Anolis sagrei: one gene and its partner. The protein of the gene in region 1 purifies or fractionates together with the protein of each later gene. This does not show direct contact. Links are inferred from orthologs where the notes say so. Each region holds a gene or a part of one and is shown in the gene's direction. Other genes may lie near its edges.

Region 1 (7,641 bases):
TGGTATGTGGGCTGTTTTGTACTACTAAAGCTAACTGTAAACTGGGAGTACATCAAATTTGTAAAAGTAATGCCATTTGAGACCAATTTAATTGCCATGGCTCAGTGCTATGGAATCATGGGTTTTGTAGTTTGGTGTGACAACGGCATTCTTTGACAGAGAAGACTAAAGACTGGGTAAAACTACAACTCCCACAATTCCACACAGCCATATAACCCAGCACCCAGTCACACAGTACCTTTATCAATATCCCCTGAAAACATGGGAGGCATCACTACAAAGTACTAAAAACAAAATATTTTCAGTTGCAGGAATATCCCAGCTCTGTTCGGAAAATGAGGATATTCGTATCTCTGTATGTCCATACACCTGGAAAATATGGGATTTTTTATGTTGGTTTGTTTTCGGGTTATACACTTGTGCCTGTTATTCCCAGGCACTAGTACACGACCAAACCTGTCTGGCCAGATGGCCATGCAGCCTCTGAATGACAATAATAATGACAAAGTTCTGTTCCTGGCTTGAAAGTGTCAGTTCCTGTTTAATAGTGTAGTCTTCACTTTGAAAGTAGTGGTCTTAAGCGGCTGAGGGGAAAAAGGAAAGGGACTGATGCTGTTAGGAATGGTGGGAGTTGGAGTCCAAAACACCAGGAGGAAGGCCCAAGTTTGCCCATACCTTTTTAAGACAACCATTCAATATAAATATATTTATAAATATAAAGATGGTACTTCATCTTAAATGTAAAAGTAATTACTTAAATTATTTATTTATTTATTTATTATTTATTAACTTTCTCCCCAAGGGACTCGGTGTGGCTTACATGAGGCCGAGCCCAAACACAACAAAAGCAATAAAACATCAATACAAGCAATTAAAAACATAGACAATAAAGTACACAACATTATCAAAAAAGCAACACATCATTAAAACAGCGGGAAGGCCAAATGTAGAGTTAAAATTGGAAATAATGCTGGGCCATGAACGAAAGGTGATATTAGTGTTTGTGGAGGGCATACAAGCAGACTCAGGGAAATATAAAGTGCTTTGGAGGACAAAGTGCTATGGGATTCATTATACCGGGAAGGCACACTGGAACAGCCACGTCTTCAAGCTCCTCCTGAAGACTGCCAGGGTTGGGGCCTGTCTGATGTCTTTAGGGAGTGAGTTCCAGAGTCAAGGGACCACCACCAAAAAGGCCCTCTCCCTCGTCCCCACCAAACATGCCTGTGATGCTGGTGGGATCGAGAGCAGGGCCTCTCCGGAAGATCGAAGGGATCATGTGGGTTCGTATACAGAGATGCGATCACATAGGTAGGTGGGTCCCAAACCGTTCAGGGCTTTATAAGTAAGAACCTGCACCTTGAATTGGGTCCGGTAGATTAATGGCAACCAGTGGAGCTCCCTGAACAGGAGGGATGACTGCTCTCTGTAAGGAGCCCCAGTTAACAACCTGGCTGCCGCCCATTGGATCATCTGAAATTTCCGGGCCATTTTCAAGGGCAGCCCCACATAGAGTGCATTGCAGTAATCCAGTCTAGAGGTGACTAAGGCGTGGACCACCTTGGCCAGATCCGCCTTCCCAAGGTACGGTCGCAGTTGACGCACAAGTCTTAATTGTGCAAAGGCCCTCCCGGCCACCACCGACGCCTGAGCCTCAAACGTAAGTGAAGAATCCAGAAGGACTCAGCTTAAATATAAATATATTTATAAATATAAAGATGGTACTTTATCTTAAATATAAATATAATTAATTAAATAAATATAAAGATGGTACTTCATCTTAAATATAAATAAATAATTATAAAGGTGGTACTTCATCTTAAATATAAATAAATATAAAGATGGTACTTCATCTTAAATATAAATATAATTAAATAAATATAAAGATGGTGTTGTTCATTCGTTCAGTCATCTCCGACGCTTCGTGACCTCATGGACCAGCCCACGCCAGAGCTTCCTGTCGGCCGTCACCACCCCCAGCTCCTTCAAGGTCAGTCCAGTCACTTCAAGGATACGAAGATAGACTATTTACCTATGCTACAACAGCAGCGAGAATATTATTGGCGAAGTTTTGGAAACAGGAAGATATCCCTACCACTGAAGAGTGGTTAGGGAAATTAAGAGAAATAAGAGAAATTGACGAATTAACTTTTTTTTTCTTGAAAAAGAATACCGGGAACCCGATAAAGAGGACAGATTGGACTCTATATGAAAACTACGAAAAGGAAATAAATAAATAAGAGGAACATTATGAAGTGGATATAATGGAAAAATCATTGAGGACACAACACCTGATGGAGAGATGGAAGTCAATTTTTATCTTCTTTTTTTTCTTTTTTTTCTTTCATTTTTTTGTGTCTTTTATATTTTTGTATTTTTCTGGTGGACTTGGGGGTAGGGGGATGTACTTCTTACTTTTTTTCCTACTTTCCTATCATCTTTTTTAATATTCTCCCTCTTTCGATGTTATTCTTAAAATCTTAATAAAAAAAACTATTATAAAAGGATACCATCCATCCATCTTGCCCTTGGTCGGCTGCTCTTTCTTTTACCTTCCACTTTCCCCAGCATGATTGTCTTCTCTAGGCTTTCCTGTCTCCTCATGATGTGGCCAAAGCACTTCAACTTTGTCTCTAGTATCTTTCCCTCCAGTGAGCAGTCGGGCTTCATTTTCTGGAGGATGAACTGGTTGGATCTTCTCGCAGTCCAAGGCACTCTCAGAACTTTCCTCCAACACCACAGCTCAAAAGCATCTATCTTCCTTCGCTCAGCCTTTCCTAAGGTCCAGCTCTCACATCCGTAGGTTACTACAGGGAATACCATGGCTTTGACTATGCGGATCTATGTTGCCAGTGTGATGTCTCTACTCTTTACTATTTTATCGAGATTGGACATTGCTCTCCTCCCAAGAAGTAAGCGTCTTCTGATTTCCTGGCCACAGTCTGCATCTGCAGTAATCTTTGCACCTAGAAATACAAAGTCTGTCACGGCCTCCACATTTTCTCCTTCTATTTTCCAGTTGTCAATCATTCCTGTTGCCATAATCTTGGTTTTTTTTATGTTTAGCTGCAACCCAGCTTTTGCGCTTTCTTCTTTCACCTTGATTAGAAGGCTCCTCAGCTCCTCCTCACTTTCGGCCATCAGAGTGGTGTCATCTACATACTGAGGTTGTTGATGTTTCTTCCAGCAATTTTCACCCCAGCTTTGCATTCATCCAGCCCCGCACATCGCATGATGTGTTCTGCATACAAGTTAAAAAGGTTGGGTGAGAGTATGCAGCCTTGCCGTACGCCTTTCCCAATCTTGAACCAGTCTGTTGTTCCGTGGTCAGTTCTGACTGTTGCTACTTGGTCCTTGTACAGATTCCTCAGGAGAGAGACAAGGGGGCTTGGTATGCCCATCCCACAATTTATTATGATCCACACAGTCAATGAAGCAGAAATAGATGTTTTTCTGAAACTCCCTGCCTTTCTCCATTATCCAGCGGATATTGGCAATCTGGTCTCTCGTTCCTCTGCCTTTTCTAAACCCTGCTTGAACATCTGGCAACTCTCGCTCCATGTCTTGCTGGAGTCTTCCTTGCAGGATCTTGAGCATTACCTTACTGGCATGAGAAATAAGGGCCACTGTACGAAAGTTTGAGCAGTCTTTCGCATTTCCCTTTTTTGGTATGGGGATATAAGTTGATTTTTTCCAGTCTGATGGCCATTCTTGTGTTTTCCATATTTGCTGGCATATGGCATGCATCACCTTGACAGCATCATCTTTTAAGATTTTAAACAGTTCAGCTGGGATCCCGTCGTCTCCTGCTGCCTTGTTGTTAGCAATGCTTCTTAAGGCCCATTCAACCTCACTCTTCAGGATGTCTGGTTCTAATTCATTCACCACACCGTCAAAGCTATCCTCGATATTATTATCCTTCCTATACAGATCTTCTGTATAGTCTCGCCACCTTCTCTTGATCTCTTCAGCTTCTGTTAGGTCCCTGCCATCTTTGTTTCTTATCGTACCACTTTTTACCTGAAATTTACCTCTAGTGTTTCTAATTTTCTGGAAGAGGTCTCTTGTCCTTCCTATTCTGTTGTCTTCTTCCAGTTCCATGCATTGCTTATTTAAAAATAGTTCCTTCTCTCTTCTGGCTAACCTCTAGAATTGCGCATTTAACTGGGCATATCTCCCCTTATCCCTGTTTCCTTTTGCTTTCCTCCTTTCTTGGGCTAATTCCAGTGTCTCAGCAGACAGGGTACTTCATCTGAAATATAAATAAATAAATGTAAAGATGGTACTTCATCTTCAAAGAGCACATTTTTGAGAGAGACCCCTTTATGAATGTTATAATCTACCAGCATTATTATTATTATTGATATTTTATCTTATTGATATTTTAAAACGAAACCAGGAATAACAGTTCAAGGCTCTCAAATGTGTGAGAAGCATTTCTTCCTCTGGATTTTGGTTTTAGACCCTCTGACTTCATCTCTTTCAAACCCAATCCCCGCCTCTTTTTGCTTTGTGACTGGAACTATATTAGCAGCGTCACTCTTTCTCCTCAGAGCCGCTTCTCCTACAGCAAAGCTCTGGCGGAGGAATCATTTCAAGAGAACAGAAACGAGTCCCGGCGCGGAAGGATCCCGAGCATGCGCAGAAGGACGGTGGAGTAGGCCCCAGCCTGAGGCGGCGGGAGGCGCCGAGGAGAGGAGGAAGCGTAACGCGGCCGAGGACCCCTCCGCGGGGGAGAGTCGAGGGTGTGTGAGGCGCGGTCGGTTGTGGGGAGAAGGTGTTGTGGTGCTTTTGTGGCGGGGAATATGTATATTTATTCTGTTGTGTTTTTGTGAGAGGAAGAAGGCTCCTTTCGCCTCGGCCGGAGTGAGGGAGGGGCTTGGGAAGAGCGGGCGCGGGGCTTGGAGGGAGGCTTGAAGCAGAAGGGCCGAAGTAGGCCCCGGGGAAAGGCCGGAGAGGGAAATTGGCCTCGAGTCGCAGGGGAAGGCCTGCCGCGGAGGAGGGAAGAAGGGGCGTGGGGGCTCCGCAAAGGCTGCTGGGATGCCAATGCAATATTAATGGCCAGCGTTTTTTCCTTACAGCGGCCTTGCGAGGTAGGCGCCACTGCCGTACATTTAACTTTAGTGACGCAGATGAGGACCTGAAGCTTGAGGCCTAGGCCGCGTGGGGTTTACAACAGGCATAGAATCATAGAATCGAAGAGTTGGAAGAGACCTCACGGGCCATCCAGTCCAACCCCCTGCCAAGAAGCAGGAATATTGCATTCAAATCACCCCTGACAGATGGCCATCCAGCCTCTGCATAAAAGCTTCCAAAGAAGGAGCCTCCATGGGCAAACCATTCCTTTTTTAGACACTGGGTTGTGGTGAGTTTTCCCGGCTGTATGGCCATGTGCCAGAAGCTTCCTCTCTGACGTTTATGTATCTGTGGAAGGTCCAAGGTGGGAGAAATAACTCTTGGTTGCTATAAAATTTTCGGGCTGTATGACCATGCTCCAGAAGCATTCTCTTCTGACGTTTTGCCTGCATCTATGACAGGCATCCTCAGGAGGCGAAACGTCAGGAGAGAATGCTTCTGGAACATGGCCATTACATGGCTGTTTGGGTATCAGCCAGCACATCAACGACTTAAATCAAGAAATACTTTTCTTAGATCTACAGTAGGGCTGGGTAACCACGGAAGAATTTGTTTCTAAACTCGATTCGTTTTTAAGGGGTCCATCACGTTTCGTTTCTTTAAAGAATTCCGAAATTTTCCTTTTAAAATTTTTGAAATATACGAAATTTCGTAAATTTCGAATCGATTTGTTAATGGCGGACGCGATTGCACAATATGCTAAAAAAAACCTCCAAATATGCTGAAAAAACCTCCAAATGGGACAGGGGGAACTTCTAAAGCTTCCCTCTCCCTCTGTTGTTGACTGTTGGTGTGATAAAACAAACAACTATAAAACTTGCACCAGGCATGCGAAAATAATTTCGAAACAATTACGAAACAATTACAAAATAAGTTGAAAAATTGTTTCGAATCTATTTAACTCCTCACACTATTCCAAAATGGCTCAATATCGGATCGTAAGCTAATTTAAATACGAATTAATAATGAATTACGAAATTAATGAACGAAACCACCCAGCCCTAATCTACAGAGACACTCGCTGGAACACCTCAGCAAGCGAGAGTTCAAAAGTGGCAGGCTCAAACCCAGCACCTCAATCCGTGGGTGATACCAAATGAGAGACTCCCCCCTGGGCACACAGAAGACTGGGCGACTTGGAAGGCACTGAACAGACTGCGCTCTGGCACCACGAGATGCAGCGCCAATCTCAAGAAATGGGGCCACAAAGTGGAATCCACGACATGCAAGTGCGGAGAAGAGCAAACCACTGACCACCTGCTGCAATGCAACCTGAGCCCTGCCACATGCACAATGGAGGACCTTCTTGCGGCAACACCAGAGGCACTCCAAGTGGCCAGCTACTGGTCAAAGGACATTTAATCAACTACCAAGTTTGCAGAATTTGTGTTTTTTTATCTGTTTGTTTGTTTTGTTCTGTTAGAAATGTAACACAATGGTCTGGTTGCTGATGACACGATAAATAAATATGGCCATACAGCCCGAAAAACTTACAGCAACTAAGAGTTATTTCTCCCACCCCAGCCCTTCCACAGATCTATAAACTTCAGGAGATAATGCTTCTGGAACATGGCCATACATCCTGAAAAACGTACAGCAACCAAGAGTTATTTCTCCCACACCAGACCTTCAACGGATCTATAAACGTCAGGAGAGAATGCTTCTGGAACATGGCCATACAGCCTGAAAAACATACAGCAACCAAGAGCTATTTCTCCCACCCCGGACCTTCCACAGATCTATAAACGTCCGGAGAGAATGCTTCAGGCACATGGCCATACAGCCCGGAAAACTCGCCGCAACCCAGTGATTCCGGCCATGAAAGCCTTCGACAATACATGGTTCTCAACCTGGGGTCCCCAGATGTCCATAGACACCTCCAAGGTCATGTGGCCATTGTCCATAGACACCTCCAAGGTCATGTGGCCAGCATGACTGCATGGAGCGCTGTTACCTTCCCACCAAGATGGTACCTATTGATCTATTCACATTTGGATGTTTTTGAACTGCTAAGTTGACAGAAGCTGGGGCTAACTTATCCCACTCCCCAAATTCAAACCGCCAACCTTTTGGTCAGCAAGTTCAGCAGCTTAGCGGTTTGACCCACTGTGCCATCAGGCACGCCTTCGTCTAGTTTCCAATATACCTCACAACCTCTGAGGGTGCCTGCCATATATGTGAGCAAAACATCGGGAGAGAATGCTTCTGGAACATGGCCATACAGCCCAGAAAACTCATCGCAACCCAGTGATTCTGTGAATGAAAGCCTTCGACAACACTTTTTTTGACAGTTATTCTACAATACAAATATATTTCCGGAGGCCTTATTTGGAGACTTTTGGTTGTGTCAACATTGCCAAGTCCGAAATAGCAATAATAATATGGCTTACCAATAGTTGTCTGGTCATTGCCTTTATAGGTTATTGAGAAAGGCCTGATTCCACAGAAAGGTTTTAACTTGTGAGCAAAAGGCCAGTTACTTCCCAGTTCCTTTCCTCCTTCCTT
Region 2 (7,651 bases), about 49 Mb from region 1:
CTGACGGCCTCCACTTGGGCCTTCAGGACGGCGCCCCACACAGGACAAAACTAAGCGGAAAGCATTTCGACGCCCGCGCTGAGTAAGGCGTTTGGGATTGGCTGAAACGGACGCTCGCAACCATGTCGCCCTATCCCGGAAGCGAAGCAGCGCGTGGGCGGGGTCTCGCTATTGTGACGTCAAGTTCCCGCAACCATCCCCTCAGACGCCGAATGGATTGGGGTAACTCCGCCCCTTCAAAAAAAGGAAAACTCTTCTTTGCACCAACGAGGAACGGAGTGAAAGAGCAAGGAGCGTTTTGATTGGCTCGGCTTGGCAAAAAGAAATGCCTCACTCAGAACTCCACCCCTGGTTTTGTTTCCAGCCACTAGAAACGTAGCAGGCGGAATGTAGAATGCAATTGGGGAAAAGGGGTCGTCAGGCAGGGCCAGTGGCGCAATGGATAACGCGTCTGACTACGGATCAGAAGATTCTAGGTTCGACTCCTGGCTGGCTCGGCTAAATTTTTTTCTTCTGTGAAAAATTAATATTTTCATTTAATGAATCGTGTTGCATCAGTGTAGATTCTCTGGGAGTTCCAGTTTGGAAAAATGGATGGTCATAACCATTTTTCTCCGAAAATAAAAAACAGCTTTGCAGTTTGCTGGTTATATAGGAATTTGACATTTCAAATCCAAACCCTCAGATTTTTCTCCTAAACTCCTTCTACACTTCGACAATACATCCTTCTACACTGCCATATAAAATCCAGATTATCTGCTTTGAACTGGATTATATGTCAGTGTAGATATAATGCCCATTATCTGCTTTGAACTGGATTATATGAATTTTCAATTATATATAATCCAGTTCAAAGCAGATAATGGGCCTTACATGCGTTGAATTATCTACAGTCATATAATCCAATTTGAACAGCATTATAATGGTAAATGTAGACTCATAATGCAGATTGAACCTCATTGAACTGGAATATTTATTTATTTATTTACAGCATTTATATCCCGCCCTTCTCACCCCGCAGGGGACTCAGGGCAGATTACAGTGTACATATATGGCAAACATTCAATGCCAATTTGACTTACAACATGGATGAGAGCTAACAAATTGAAATTGAATCCAGACAAGACAGAGGTCCTACTAGTCAGTCGTAAGGCCGAACAGGGCATAGGGTTACAGCCTGTGTTAGACGGGGTTACACTCCCCTGAAGACGCAGGTTCGCAGCTTGGGAGTGATCCTGGACTAATCGCTGAACCTGGAACCCCAGGTCTCAGCGGTGGCCGGGAGAGCTTTTGCACAATTAAAACTTGTGCGCCAGCTACGCCCGTACCTTGAGAAGTTGGATCTGGCCACGGTGGTCCACGCACTTGTTACATCCCGGATAGATTACTACAACACACTCTTCGTGGGGTTGCCTTTGAAGACTGTTCGGAAACTTCAATTAGCCCAGCAGGAGGCAGCGAAATTACTCACCGGAGCGTCATACAGGGAGCATACCACCCCGTTATGTCAGCTCCACTGGCTGCCGATCCAGTTCTGAGCACAATTCAAAGTGCTGGTTTTGACCTACAAAACCCTATACCAGTGTTTCTCAACCTGGGGGTCGGGACCCCCAGGGGGGTCACAAGGGGTGTCAGAGGGGTCGCCAAAGACCATCAGAAAACAGTATTTTCTGTTGGTCATGGGAGTTCTGTGTGAGACATTTGGACTAATTCTGTACTTGGTGGGGTCCAGAATGCACTTTGATTGTAGGTGAACTATAAATCCCCGCAACTACAACTCCCAAATAACAAAATCAACCCCTCCAACCCCGCCAGTAGTCAAATTTGGGCGTATTGGGTATTTGTGCCAAGTTTAGTCCAGTGAATGAAAATACATCCTGCAGATCAGATATTTACATTACGATTCATAACAGTAGCAAAATTACAATTATGAAGTAGCAACAAAATAATTTGATGGTTGGGGGTCACCACAACATGAGGAACTGTAATAAGGGGTTGCGGCATTTGGAAGGTTGAGAACCACTGCCCTATACGGTTCCGGCCCAGCGTATCTGTCCAAACGCATCTCCCTCTACGTCCCACCTCGGAGTTTAAGATCTTTCGGGGAGGCCCTGCTCTCAGCCCCGCCTTTATCACAAGTGAGATTGGCGGGGACGAGGAGCAGGGCCTTCTCGGTTGTGGCCCCTTACATATGGAATTCACTCCCCGGGGAAATTAGATCATCGTCATCCCTCCTCTCCTTTAGAAGGAAATTAAAAACATGGATTTGGGACCAGGCGTTTGGGCAATCTGGCAGATAAATAAAGGACAATGACGATTGATAGGAATGGAAAATGTGGAATGAAGCTATGGACTCTGAGTTGCGAACGTTGAGCATAAGATTGTTTTTATTGACTGTGATATATATTGATTGTTCTTAACTGTTATAACTGTTTTTAATTGCTGTCTATATCTTATCTGTATTACTATTTTGTAAGCCGCCCTGAGTCCCCCCTCGGGGGTTGAGAAGGGCGGGGTAGAAGTACACAAAAGAAAGAAAGAAATAAAACATATACAGACATAGACAGAGGCTATTTAACTTTTTCTGGCTGCCAGGGGAGCTGTCGCTTTCATCGTCCATCTGTGACACTGATGAAGTACTTCCGCATTCCCCGCATGCTTTTTTGCTGGAATGCTTTGCTGGAGTCTTTTTTGTGGCCTCGTAAATTAGCTAATTTAGCCTCCCCACACTTTAAGGTGGTACCTAATTTTCCTACTTGACAGATGCAACTGTTTTTCGGGTTGCAAAGGTTGACAACAGGCTACACACAATTGGTTGGAAACCCACTCCAACCCGGGCTGGCTTCGAACTCATGACCTTTTGGTCAGAGTGATCTTAATGCAGCTGACACTCAGCTAGCTGCGCCACAATCCCGGTTATAATCCAGTTCAAAGCAGATAATGGGCATTACATGCTTTGAATTATCTACAGTCATATAATCCAATTTGAACAGCATTATAATGGTAAATGTAGTCTCATAATGCAGATTGAACCTCATTGAACTGGAATATATGAGTCTACCAGTGTTTCTCAACCTTCCTAATGCCATGACCACTTAATACAGTTCCTCGTGTTGTGGTGACCCCCATCCGTAACATTATTTTCGTTGCTACTTCAAAACTGTAATTATGCGACCATTATGGCTCGCAGTGTAAATATCTGATATGCAGAATGTATTTTCATTCACTGGACCAAATGTGGCACAAATAGCTTATATGCCCAAATTTGAATACTGGTGAGTTTGGGGGGGGGGGGTGATTTTGTCATTTGGGAGTTGTAGTTGCTGGGATTTATAGCTGACCTACAATCAAAGAGCATTCTGAACCCCACCATCAAAATTGGGCCAAACATTCCACACAGAAAATACTGTGTTTTCTGATGGTCTTTGGTGACCCCTCTGACCCCCCTTCGTGACCCCTCCTGGGGTCCCAACCCCCAGGTTGAGAATCACTGGTACACTGATATAATCCAGTTCAATCCACATTCTGTGGCAGTGTAGATGAGGCCTCCTTGTGTTACCATGATAGAGCCAAGACCAAACCCTGATCTCACAGTGTCTGAGTCCAACATTCAAACCATGACACCACACAGTCTAATCCCAGACATTTTGTGGATATGCAAAATTGTGGATAATAGTGAATCATTTTGGAATGAATGCCTTCTTGCCCAAGAAGGCATTTGTCATTTTTAAAGTTTTTGTCCTTTTTATTTTATTTATTTATTTACCTTACTTATATACCGCTGTTCTCAGCCCGAAGGCGACTCACAGCGGTTCACAACAAATACGAACAGCAAAAATTCAGTGCTACAGTATAGAAACAGTTAACAACCTAACACATTACACGACCCATTCACTGTCGTCTCGTCATCAAAAATATGTTCCAGATTCGTCATCCATTTTTCCATTCCAGTGTTCATTAACCAATCATTGCACTAATTATTCGAACGCCTGCTCAAACAGCCAGGTCTTCACTTTTTTGCAGAATACCATTAGAGATGGTGCTAGTCTAATGTCCGTAGGAAGGGCGTTCCACAGCCGAGGAGCCACCACCGAGAAGGCCCTATCTCTCGTCCCCGCCAGCTGAGCTTGAGAAGCAGGCGGGATCGAGAGCAGGGTCTCCCCGGAAGATCTCAAAGTCCTGGTGGGTTCATAGGCAGAGATGCGGTCGGATAGGTAGCTTGGCCGGAACCGTTTAGGGCTTTAAAGGCCAACGCCAGCACTTTGAATTCAGCCCGGTAGCAGATCGGTAGCCAGTGGAGTTGGCGTAACAGCGAGGTTGTATGCTCCCTGCATACAACCTTTTTAAAAAGAGACCCAAAGCTTAACAATACAAAAAAAATACACAATTGAAAACCTAAAACATATCCACATAATTAATCATAGGGTTATTAGAATAAATAATTAAATTCACTGATGTTCAAGTGCTATAGTTACAGTGCATTATGTGGCAGCATAGAGGTGAGTCTGAGATATACTGTTTCCTCTCGTTTCCTTTTCTGCGCAGGCGCTCTAGCCATTCTCCCTACTGTATTATGCCTTCCTATCCGACAGGTGGCGCTCATTCTCAGCCCCCGCCGCCTTTTTCTCGTTCTCCTTCCCTGGCCGGAAAGAGAAAAGAGGAGACGGAGCTTCCGCTCATTCATCGCGCGCGCCCTGTGTGTTGGGAGTGCGTTTTCTTCTCAGCGAGTAACGGACGCGGCCTAGTCTCCGTGCTCAATTTTTGGTGGTTTATTCCTCACTCGCTTAAGCATTTTCGGCCTACACTTTTGCCGCCATGAAGCTCGTGAGGTAAGGAAGCGGGCTTTTTGTCAGAAGCCACGCGGGCCAAGCCTGGGGTCCTTGCTCTTGGCCTGCAGGCCTTTCCTAATGGCTCCCCACTGAGTTATTTCCCATGAATTTAGCATGAATGGGCATGGATGATAATAGTGGGATTTCCCACCTCCTTCTATTTCTTGTTTCTTCCAAAATTGTGTCACTCTTCATAGCTCAGTCATATTCCAAACTCTGATATAATCTCATATTATTATCTATCTATATAAAAATGCTTTGTGCATAATGAGTACCTTAAAAACAAAAGAACGAATGAACGAAATCGCACCAAATTTGGCAACGAAACGTCTCACTACACAGGGAGTGACCATCACTCAAAAATTATGATTTTGTCATTTGGGAGTTGTAGTTGCTGGGATTTATAGTTCACCTATAATCAAAGAGCATTCTGAACCCCACCAAAGATGGAATTGAACCAAACTTGGCACACAATTCTCCCATGACCAACAGAAAACACTAGAAGAGTTTGGTGAGCATTGACCTTGGGTTTTGGAGTTTTTTATTTATTTATTTATTTATTTATTTGGAGTGTTTCTACCCCGCCCGTCTCAACCCCCTAGGGGGGACTCAGGGCGGCTTACAAAAGGCACAATTCGATGCCTAACAATTCACAAAATACAGTACAATATACAATACACAAATTTACCATATAATGTCAACAGTTATAACTAATTAAAACAATCAAACAGTATACTAGCAGCAATAAAATCATCTTGTGGTCAGTGTTCGCCAATTCATAGTTGTAGTTCAGCTACATTTAGAGAGCACTGTGGACTCAAAGAATAATGGATCTGGACCAAACTTGGCACGAATACTCAATATGCCCAAATATAAACACAGATGGAGTTTTGGGGAAATAGACCTTGACATATGGGAGTTGTAGTTACTAGGATTTTTAGTTCACCTACAATCAAGGAGCATTCTGAACCCCACCAATGAAATTGGGCCAAACTTCCCACACAGAACCCTCATAACCAACAGAAAATACTGTGTTTTCTGGTAGTCTTTGGTGACCCTTCTGACACCCCCTCGCAATTCGCCCCCAGGTTGAGAAATGCTGCCTTAAGGCCATCCAGTCCAACTCCCTTCAGCAGAGCAAGAAAACATAAAGCCCTCCTGACAAAGAGCCATCCAGCCATAGATGTAGATAAATATATATAATTCACACACACACATGTCTATGTCAGATATAGTACCATAGATTTGAAAGGGACCCCTAAAGAAGGACAATTAAATGTTGCATGTTCCAGAGTAGGCAAACCAGACAATCTCCACATCAACACTGGCAAAGAAACAGCAAGATATACTGTTTACCCACAAGCATAAAGAAATTACATATATTAGAAACCAACACTTTCTCATTACTTTATTTTCCAGATCACCAGACTGGGCCACAGCAATGCATGGCAGGGGACCGCTAGTATTATATATAATATTAATAAAGTTGTACTATAATATATTCTATATCATGTATACTATAGCTTACTATATAATACAATATATTATATAATACTAATAGTATAATGTACTCGTAGTGCATTAGTTATATTGTGGTATAATATACTACAATGTAATAATACAATAACTGTATATTATATATTACATGTAATATGACTAATATTGCAGTGTTGTGATATAGTGCAATATAATATATAATACTAATCTGCTATAATCGAGAAAGGCAGGGAGTTTCAGAAAAACATGTATTTCTGTTTTATTGACTATTCTAAAACCTTTGACTCTGTGGATCATAATAAATTGTGGCAAGTTCTTGGTGGTATGGGCATACCAAATCACCTTATCCCTCTCCTGAGGAATCTGTATAAGGATCAAGTAGCAACAGTAAGAACTGACCATGGAACAACAGACTGGTTCAAGACTGGGAAAGGCGTATGGCAGGGTTGTATATTCTCACCCAGCCTATTCAACTTTTAAGCAGAACACATCATGTGATGTGCGGGGCTTGAGGAATGAGGTGAAAATTGCTGGAAGAAACATTAACAACCTTAGATATGCAGACGACACCACTTTGATGGCCGAAAACAAGGACAAGCTGAGGAGACTTCTAATCAAGGTGAAAGAAGAAAGCGCAAAAGCTGAGTTGCAGTTAAACAAAAAAAACCAAAATTATGGCAACAAGAATGATTGACAACTGGGGAGTAGAGGGAGAAAACGTGGAGGCAGTGACAGACTTTGTATTTCTAGATGCAAAGATTACTGCAGACGCAGACTGCAGCCAGGAAATCAGGAGATGCGTACTTCTTGGGAGGAGAGCAATGACCAATCTTGATAAAATAATGAAGAGTAGAGACATCACACTGGCAACAAAGATTCGCATAGTTAAAGCAATGGTATTCCCCATAGTCACCTACGGAAGAGCTGGACCATAGGGAAGGCTGAGCGAAGGAAGATAGATGCTTTTGAACTGTGGTGTCCATACTTCAGGAAATAAAGCCTGAATGCTCGTTGGAGGGAAGAATAGTAGAGGCAAAGATGAAGTACTTTGGTTACATAATTAAAAGACAGGAAAGCTTAGAGAAGACAATGATGCTGGGGAAAATGGAAGAGAGGCCAACCAAGGGCAAGATGGATGGATGGTATCCTTGAAGTGACTGGAATGACCTTGAAGGAGCTGGGGGTGGTGACGACCAACAGGGAGCTCTGGCATGGACTGGTCCATGAAGTCACAAAGAGTCGGAAACAACTGAATGAATTAACAACAATCTGCTATGCTAATAGTACATTATATATACATGTATTGATAATATTATAATGTAATA

What was found. Proteins that work in one complex are often made in the same cells at the same time.
Region 2: the proteins of SNRNP70 (region 1) and SNRPD1 purify together in Homo sapiens (affinity purification with mass spectrometry; 6 studies listed by BioGRID and IntAct, counting the BioPlex papers as one, with this or other methods). This does not show direct contact. The link is inferred for Anolis sagrei from reciprocal best matches to the Homo sapiens genes SNRNP70 and SNRPD1.

What each region holds. Positions count from the first base shown.
Region 1 is NC_090026.1:28,579,762-28,587,402, reverse strand, and holds the start of SNRNP70 (U1 small nuclear ribonucleoprotein 70 kDa), read left to right. Parts: upstream 1-4,625; 5' UTR 4,626-4,745; intron 4,746-7,641. UniProt on the Homo sapiens protein: Component of the spliceosomal U1 snRNP, which is essential for recognition of the pre-mRNA 5' splice-site and the subsequent assembly of the spliceosome. SNRNP70 binds to the loop I region of U1-snRNA.
Region 2 is NC_090026.1:77,913,242-77,920,892, forward strand, and holds the start of SNRPD1 (small nuclear ribonucleoprotein Sm D1), read left to right. Parts: upstream 1-4,635; 5' UTR 4,636-4,815; coding exon 4,816-4,829; intron 4,830-7,651. UniProt on the Homo sapiens protein: Plays a role in pre-mRNA splicing as a core component of the spliceosomal U1, U2, U4 and U5 small nuclear ribonucleoproteins (snRNPs), the building blocks of the spliceosome.